Linked DNA regions of Notamacropus eugenii. The protein of the gene in region 1 interacts with the protein of each later gene in a biochemical or structural test. Links are inferred from orthologs where the notes say so. Each region holds a gene or a part of one and is shown on either strand. Other genes may lie near its edges.

Region 1 (3,744 bases):
GCACATCCCATTCTAGAAAAAAGTGTGCCCCCCAGACACTTGGGCACACGCCCCACTGTCCAATGGAAGTGCCAACCTGGCAAGAACAGGAAGCCTTACAATTTCAGCTCCTAGAATGGGGGCAGTGCCAACTTAAGGAGGAATCAGTCCAGTCCCCCCTCTCAGCCCCACCTCCAAAGGCCTTAACCACTCAGGACAAACACCAGACATTCAGATAAAGCATATGGGCTGCAAGAGTAGGTGAGATGCAAAATAAAAGAGCTCTCTCCCCAATTGGGGTTGAGCTTTAAAGCTTCCATACAGAGCAAAGTGTACAGAGTGAAAACAAGACAGGAGACAATGAGATGGGAGAAGGGACTGAAGGGAGAAGGGAGACTTTGGGGCACGGGGGCGGATATCCAGAGTGGCATTCAGGAAACTTTCTGAGCAGGACCTGGGTTATCCCTCTGGGGACCAAGAAGTAGTCCCTCCCCCAAGCTGAAAACACCAATAGTAAAGTGGGAAGGGGGCACCAGAATGGCAGATACATTTGTCCATTTCAAATTGATTTAACAACAAGCATTTATTAAATGTCTACTATGTACAAGATACCTGAAAGTTCCCTGGCTGTGGGGGGAAGTCAGGAAGGAGAATGACACAGAGACAGAGGAGGAACTCTAGGGAAGGTCAGATGCTGTGGGCAACTGGCCAGAGCAAGTAGGGTGGCACCATTCCAGGGTCAACTTCAGGGACAATGAGACTGCCCTGACCCTAGGAAGGCGAGTACTGCCCTAATCCAGAGAAGGGAGCATTGACCCAGGGCAGGGAGCAGAGAGCAGTGTTGCCAGGTGCCCCACTGGTGCCAACAGGAGAAGCAGTGGGTGTCTGTGGCAGTGTTCATCCTGGGCAGGCCAGGGAAAAGGCATGTGGGATGGAGGGAGGAGGGAGAACAGGACATTTCCCAGGTCAACAGCTGCCCTGTCCATCCATCTCCCAGCCTCTGTTCCCTCTTCTCCCCGCCCGGCCAGGCCCCAGATCCCTCCCCCTCCTGACTTGGCACTGTGCCCAGCTCGGCCCTAGGGGCCAGAGTTACAGTAAGAGGCCTGGCAGGCCTCTGGTCTGAGCTATGCCAGCTGGCAGCCACTACTGCCACCTCCCACTACCTGGCTTCAGACAGGCCAGGGGTGGAAGAGACGCCCACCTAGCCCGTGCAAAACTCTCATGGGAAAGATAGAGAGGAAGGGGGAAATGGGGGAAAAAAATCAGAGACAGAGCAAAAGGGAAGAGGGAGGGGCCTATGTCTTTTCCTTGCAGCCCAGCTCCCACCCATGACCAAGGCAGAGCTTTCCTCCCTGCCCCCGCCCTCATGCTGTCCCCAGAGCTCCTTCCCTCCATTGCCTAGCTCACCTCAATTCTCACCAGGTTTATACCCACCACCTCCCTCCCTTCACGCTCCACTCAAATAGGGGAATTAGTAGCAAGGTATGTATGTAGGGGAAGCGCGCTGTGCTGGCCTTCCTCCTACACCCTTTAGGTACCCTCATAAAAAGACACCTGGTACAGGGGACCCTGAGGGTAAGGATGAGGGAGGAGGGCATGTGGCTGCCTCTCCAGGTCACAATACTGTTCCCGCCAAATGTCGAGAGGTTTGTTTATCTACCAGGGGCCTTTGTCTGCTGCCAACCAAGCTATTTATAAGATCCTCAGTGAGGTGGAAGGAGGGAAAGCCGGGCCGAGAACGCAACACAAATGGCCCTAACCTTTCTGCAGCCCTCCAGCCTAGCACATACTTTGGCAGAGTCCAGCAACCCAAATTATAATAGAGGTTCCTTTCCCATCCCTAGATGGGGCCCCTGCAAGCTTCGAAGGACATTCCCTGTAAAACAGGCAACAGTAATAAACAGTATTCATATAGTGTTTCGAAGTTTGCAGAACACTTTCCACATCTGATCTCACTGGAATCTCACAATAGCCCTGTGAGGTCAGTGCTATTATTCTTCCCATTTTACAGATAAGGAAACTGAGGCTGAGAGAGGTTTAAGTACTTTCCTAAGGTCACACAGCGAGTGTCTATGGCAGGATTTCAACTTGAGTTTTTTCTGATGCCAAATCCAGAGCTCTATCCAGTGTACCCCTTAGCTCCCCCAACAGCTACGTCCGTTATTAGCCACTCTTTCTTTGTCACTCCCTGACTGACACCCCATCCTTCCCAGTGTTTTTATATAACAAAACCACCACAAACCATCCCCTCACAGAGCTCTGATGATAAACCACCAGGTTCTCCTGTGATATCTGAGCCCTCAATCCCACCCATCCCCACCCCTCATTCCCACTCTGTGGCACAACTTACTGGCTGGTGACGGAGTGCTGTACCCACTGACAGGAAGCTGGTGCTGGATACTTGTCAGGGTGCCAGGTGGAGAAAGTCCGCCCAGCATGGGAGGGAAGAAGAAGGCATAGTGAGGCACTGGGTACCCATTAAGGTGCCCACTCCCAGGCGTTGGGCATGAGCTGCTATTGCTGGCCATGCCCTGATGACAGTCAAAGATACAGACAGAGAGTCCAGTTGGGAAGGTTTGAGGGGCTTCTCAATGCCCCTTCTCAGCTCATTGGGGCCTGGAGTTGGGAGGGGTTGTGGGTGATCAACCCACCCCCTCTTCCTGTCCTGCAGCTGAAGAGGGCAGTACCCCACAGGGTGATCTTGGCCTTCTGGAGCCACCGCCCAAACCAGGGGCAAGGTGGCAAAGGGAGGGGAGGGCGCTGCTCAGGTCGGCTGCTATGATAAGCTGGAATGAGGCTTGGAAAGCTGAGGTAGCCTCCTGAATGGCACCCACCACGGCTGGCTGTTAGGCAGAGTATCGAGCGAGGTATCCTCACCTAGATGAACTCTGATGACGCTGGTGCTGCTGGGGAAGCCATGTCTTCTGATGCTGAAAAGGAGAAGACAAGACAGGTGAGTAGGCACAGAGAACAGGGCACAGGGGTTTTCTCTACGGGGCTCCCCCCACCTGGGCAGCTGGAGGTTTTCCCGTGACACCAGGCTAAGCAGACAGATGGCACAGTGCCTGCCTGGCACAGACAACTTGGGAGTGGGGCCCAGACACTGCAGAGGAAGAGGTGAGGGTGAGAACATTCGCACAAAGAGCAGAACTTAAACCTTTAGGAGACACCTCTCACCCTAATGTGGCCAAAAGGCCTGTTGTGCCTTGAAGGCGGGGTCCCTGGAGATCAGCAGGGGACATGAGGGAAACACAGCTGGACCTAGAGATCTCCCCAAAGAAGGGTTACCTAAGGTCACAGATGTAGAGAAAGCGTGGGGATGGTGGAGGTAACCGAGGGAGGGGAAGGGGAGAGAAGCTGCTTCCCTAAAGCATGGTACTTCTCAGAATCGTGACGCAGCAACCCTAGGGGCCTCTTACACCACTTCCCCCACCCCAGCCCCAAAATCCAGGGACCTAACACCCTGCATGGGTGGGGATAGGGTGGGGATGAGGATGTTTAGCCTGGAGAAGAGGAAGATGCAGGTGGGCCACAGAGCCGTCTTCAAATATTTGAAGGCTGGTGTGTAGAAGGGGGGTCATGTTTGTTGTCCTTAGCCCCAGAGGCAAGAACCAGGAGCAATGGGTGGAAATTGCCAAGAAGCCAACACAGGCTTGATGAAAAAAAAACATGCTAACAATTAAGGATGCCCAGGAGAAGAATGGGTCACCTAGGAAAGGTAAGTATCTCCTCACTTGAAGTCCTCAAGCACTGACTGAAGGGAGC
Region 2 (3,744 bases), on another chromosome or scaffold:
TTCTACTCTATTATGCCTAAAATTCAATCCTATGATCTCGCTTCAGGATTAAAAACTTTTTAAAAGAAGCTCAAAATTTTTTCTTGATCAACTGTTTCAACACATGCTGGGAATCCAGGCATTCTTAAGTGAATCCCTTGCAGCGTACAATCAGCATAAAAGAGGATTGACTCAATCCATTCATCTCCTCACTCTAGCTCACCCACAATTCTCCCCACCTTTTCCATTCATTATTCTGGTTAAAAAAAAAAAAAAGCAGATTGTGAAAATCCGTGGACCTCCTGCCTTGAAAAAACACCCCCTCACCTCTGTTTTTCCCTAGGAAGGTTTCTCTTCATCTCCTCTGATCCTTTCACTCCCGCACCCCGTCCAGACCTTTATTTCCCTTAAAGCAAAGGTTCTCAACCTGGCTTCCATGCACTTCGTACACATGTACAATCTGAATGTCAATATGCAGAGTGGGTTTCTTTGGCAATCCTATGCATTTTATTTTATGCATCTAATACAAGATCCTGGAAAGGTGTCGGTCCACAGGCTTCCCCGGATTGCCAGGGGGTCCGTGCCGCAGGAAGGTCCCTCGGCTGTTCATCTGAACACAGAGCGCCAGGAGGTCGCGCCCCCCACTCTACCGCGCCGAGGGCCGGAGGAGAGTTCTCTCGGGCAGTTACTTATTAATCACAGCTCCCAGCAGGGAAGGCGGGGGGCGGGGGACGCTCCGGGCAGGGAGGAGCGCCGCGGGGGGCGGGGGAGCTGGGGGAGGGTACGGAGTTAGGTGCGAGGTGGTTGGACGCGGGCTGGAGGAGGGAGGGCGTCACTCAGGCCGGGCCAATACAACAAACAGAACCCTCCGTCTCCTCCGCGGTGCAGAAACCGCCACCAACAGCCCAACCGCCGCCGGAGTTCCGCGGAGAGGAGGCGGGGCCTGCGCTTGCCCCCGTCCCCCTCCCTCCTCCCCGCTCCCTCTCGCGGTCCCCTCTCCCGGGGCGAGCCTGGGTAGTCCCGGGCAGGCTCCGCCCCCTCGCGAGAGGCGGCGGTCATTGGGCTGCGGGGCTTTTTTTGCGGTCGTCCTAGTTGCGAGGAGAGGGCGGAGTCGGGGAGGAGGCCGCCTTCGGAGGGCGGGGGAGGCGGGAGGTGGTGGTGAGCGGCCGGTCCGGGAGCGGAGCCGAAGAGGGAGAGTGCCCGGGAGAAGTCGAAGCCGGGGAGGGCTCCGGGATCGCGTCGGCCCGGGGCGAGGCTTCCCGCCGCCGGCGAGGAGCGGTGCCCGCGGACTCCTCTCCCTCCTTCCGGCCGCGACACCGGGGAGGCGGCTTCCTCTGCGCCTCCCTCCCGATCCTCCCCGCCCCCTAGTCCGGAGGAGGAGGAGGACGGGGGCGGTGGTTGGGAGGAGGAGGCGGCGGCGGCGGCGGCGGGCGGAGACCGCGCTCCCCCTTCTCCCTCGGCGGCGGCAGCGGCAGCGGCAGCGGCGGGGACAGGACAATGGAGGTGGCTGTGGAGAAGGCGGCCGTGGCAGCGGCGGCGGTCGCGGCAGCGGCGGCTGCGGCAGCGTCGGGGGCCCCGGCGGCCGCGGCCCCGAGCGGGGAGAATGAGGCCGAGAGCCGGCAGGGCCCGGACTCGGAGCGCGGCGGGGAGGCGGCCCGCCTCAACCTGTTGGACACTTGCGCCGTCTGTCACCAGAACATCCAGAGCCGGGCGCCCAAGCTGCTGCCCTGCCTGCACTCCTTCTGCCAGCGCTGCCTGCCCGCCCCCCAGCGCTACCTCATGCTGCCCGCCCCGCTCCTGGGGGCCGCCGAGACCCCCCCTCCTCCCGCCGCCGCCGCCGCCGCTCCCCCCGGCTCCCCGATCTCCGCCACCCCACCGTACAGCACCCAAGGTGAGCGAGCCCCTTTCCCGCCGCGCGCGCGAGGCCCGGGAGGGGGCGAGCCGAGCTCGGCGGAGCCGCGCCGCTAGCTGGGGGAGGGGAGAAAAGGGGCGGGGAGGCGGGGGACGCGAGCGAGACACACGGCGGGTGAGTGCGTGCGAGTGCGTGCGGGTGTGTGGCGACCCTGCTGTCATGTCGCCACGGGGGAGGGGGGAGAGGGAGACGGCAGGGTCTGTGTGTGCGGGCGTGTGCCCTGCGCCCAGGGCCCTGCGCGCTCCCCGCGCTCCGCCGGCTTCTCCGCAGGCCGCCTGCCGGGGCACCCGGGCTGGGCTGCTCGAGTCTCTCGAGTGGCCCGGCGCCTTGTTCCGGCCAACTTTTTTCTGAACGCCGACCCCTTAGCGTCACTGCTCACTCGGTGTTCGCCCGAAGCTTTTGTCCGGGGCTCCGGGATCCCGGGAAAGTAGGGAAGTGCCTCGTCCGTCTTCCTTTATTCTTCTTCAATGGATGAAGCCTTCGGCCGGCGCCAGATCTGACGTTGGGTTTGGAGGATGGAGCCTTGGGCTTGGGTCCTGTGTGGGAGCTCGTTTCCTCGCGGTGCTCTTGCTCCCCTTCGTCGGGGACAAAGGGACAAAGTGACAGTGTTTCATTTGTCCTCCCGTGAGGGGGCTGGCGTGGACGGGCTTGGCCGTGGGAGAGGCGGGAGAAAAGTGAGTTCGGTGGGAGAGGGGTTTTTTTCTTTCAAGTGTACGTGAAGAAGAGCTGGAGGTGCTGGAGATGGACGGTTTCTCCCGGGATGCGGTTGGGTGTTTTGTTTTGTTTCGGTCAGTGTAGTGCGGGAAGCTTAACAGGTAACCTGGTGTTGCTTTTGGTACCTGTTATTAGATCTGAAACATTTTTAAAAGTTAAAAGCAAAATGTTGAATTTGATACAGTTGTAGAAAGCTTTTTGCGTTTTTGTGCTTTCCCCCCTGTTTTTGTATTTTCTTTTAAAATTATAAAAGCAACATTTAGGAAAATATGTTAACTGCTTTTCAAAAAAGGAAATAACTTATTTTTAACTCCTCCCATTTTTAGAGGAGAAACTCCATTTAACTTAGAGTAGTTAGTAGTTTCAAGGCAGTGGCTAGAGCAGTGGGCCTGGAGTCAGAAGACCTGAATTCATATTCGACCTGAATAGTTTTGTTAACCCTGGGTAGCTTCCACCTCTGCCTCAGTTTCCTGTTGTGAGTATTAAACGAGACCGAGATAATAATTGTAAAGGACCTAGCTCCATTTAAATGTTAACCATTATTAATTATTCTCATTTGCTAGTGCCCCCCCTCCCCACTGTACTTTGCGTTTTTGTTGTTAAGTCGTGTCCAACTCTCTTCACCTCGTTTGGGGTTTCCTTGGCAGTTACTAGAGTGGTTTGCCTTTTCCTTCTCCTGCTCACTTTAAAGATAAGGAAACTGAGGGGAAAGGGGGTTAGGTGACTTGGCCAGGGTCACAAAACTAGTGTCTGAGGCAGGATTTGAACGCCACCTAGCTGCCAGATAGGTTATAGTGCCAAATTGAAGTAAGAAGGGTTCTGAAGAATGCTTTTTATTGGAATAAAGTGAACTGTGGCTTTAACACTTCCACTTAGTTGTAGTGAATCAGCCTACCTATTCAAGATTAATCCTGGGTGTAAGGGCAATTGAAATGATTAAATCTTGAGGGAAAAAGAAGTAACTTTTTTTTTTTCCAAATAGTGTATTCTTCAGTGAAGCTGCTTTTAAAGAAAGAACATTTTCATGAAACTGTTTAGATCCCTAACCAGATGGAGTTAATTAACCTTCCATGATCTATCTGACCTGAACCTAGAATTAAAAAGTTCCTAAGAATTGAAGCAATGATTGGTGTCATGCA

Evidence for each region. The genes of interacting proteins can lie anywhere in the genome.
Region 2: the proteins of RARA (region 1) and TRIM24 form a complex in vitro, tested with the Homo sapiens proteins (3 studies listed by BioGRID). The link is inferred for Notamacropus eugenii from reciprocal best matches to the Homo sapiens genes RARA and TRIM24.

What each region holds. Positions count from the first base shown.
Region 1 is NC_092873.1:355,853,436-355,857,179, reverse strand, and holds the start of RARA (retinoic acid receptor alpha), read right to left. Parts: upstream 2,619-3,744; 5' UTR 2,508-2,618; coding exon 2,330-2,507; intron 1-2,329. UniProt on the Homo sapiens protein: Receptor for retinoic acid. Retinoic acid receptors bind as heterodimers to their target response elements in response to their ligands, all-trans or 9-cis retinoic acid, and regulate gene expression in various biological processes.
Region 2 is NC_092874.1:110,703,633-110,707,376, reverse strand, and holds the start of TRIM24 (transcription intermediary factor 1-alpha), read left to right. Parts: upstream 1-1,339; 5' UTR 1,340-1,476; coding exon 1,477-1,870; intron 1,871-2,571; exon of another isoform or gene 2,572-3,744. UniProt on the Homo sapiens protein: Transcriptional coactivator that interacts with numerous nuclear receptors and coactivators and modulates the transcription of target genes.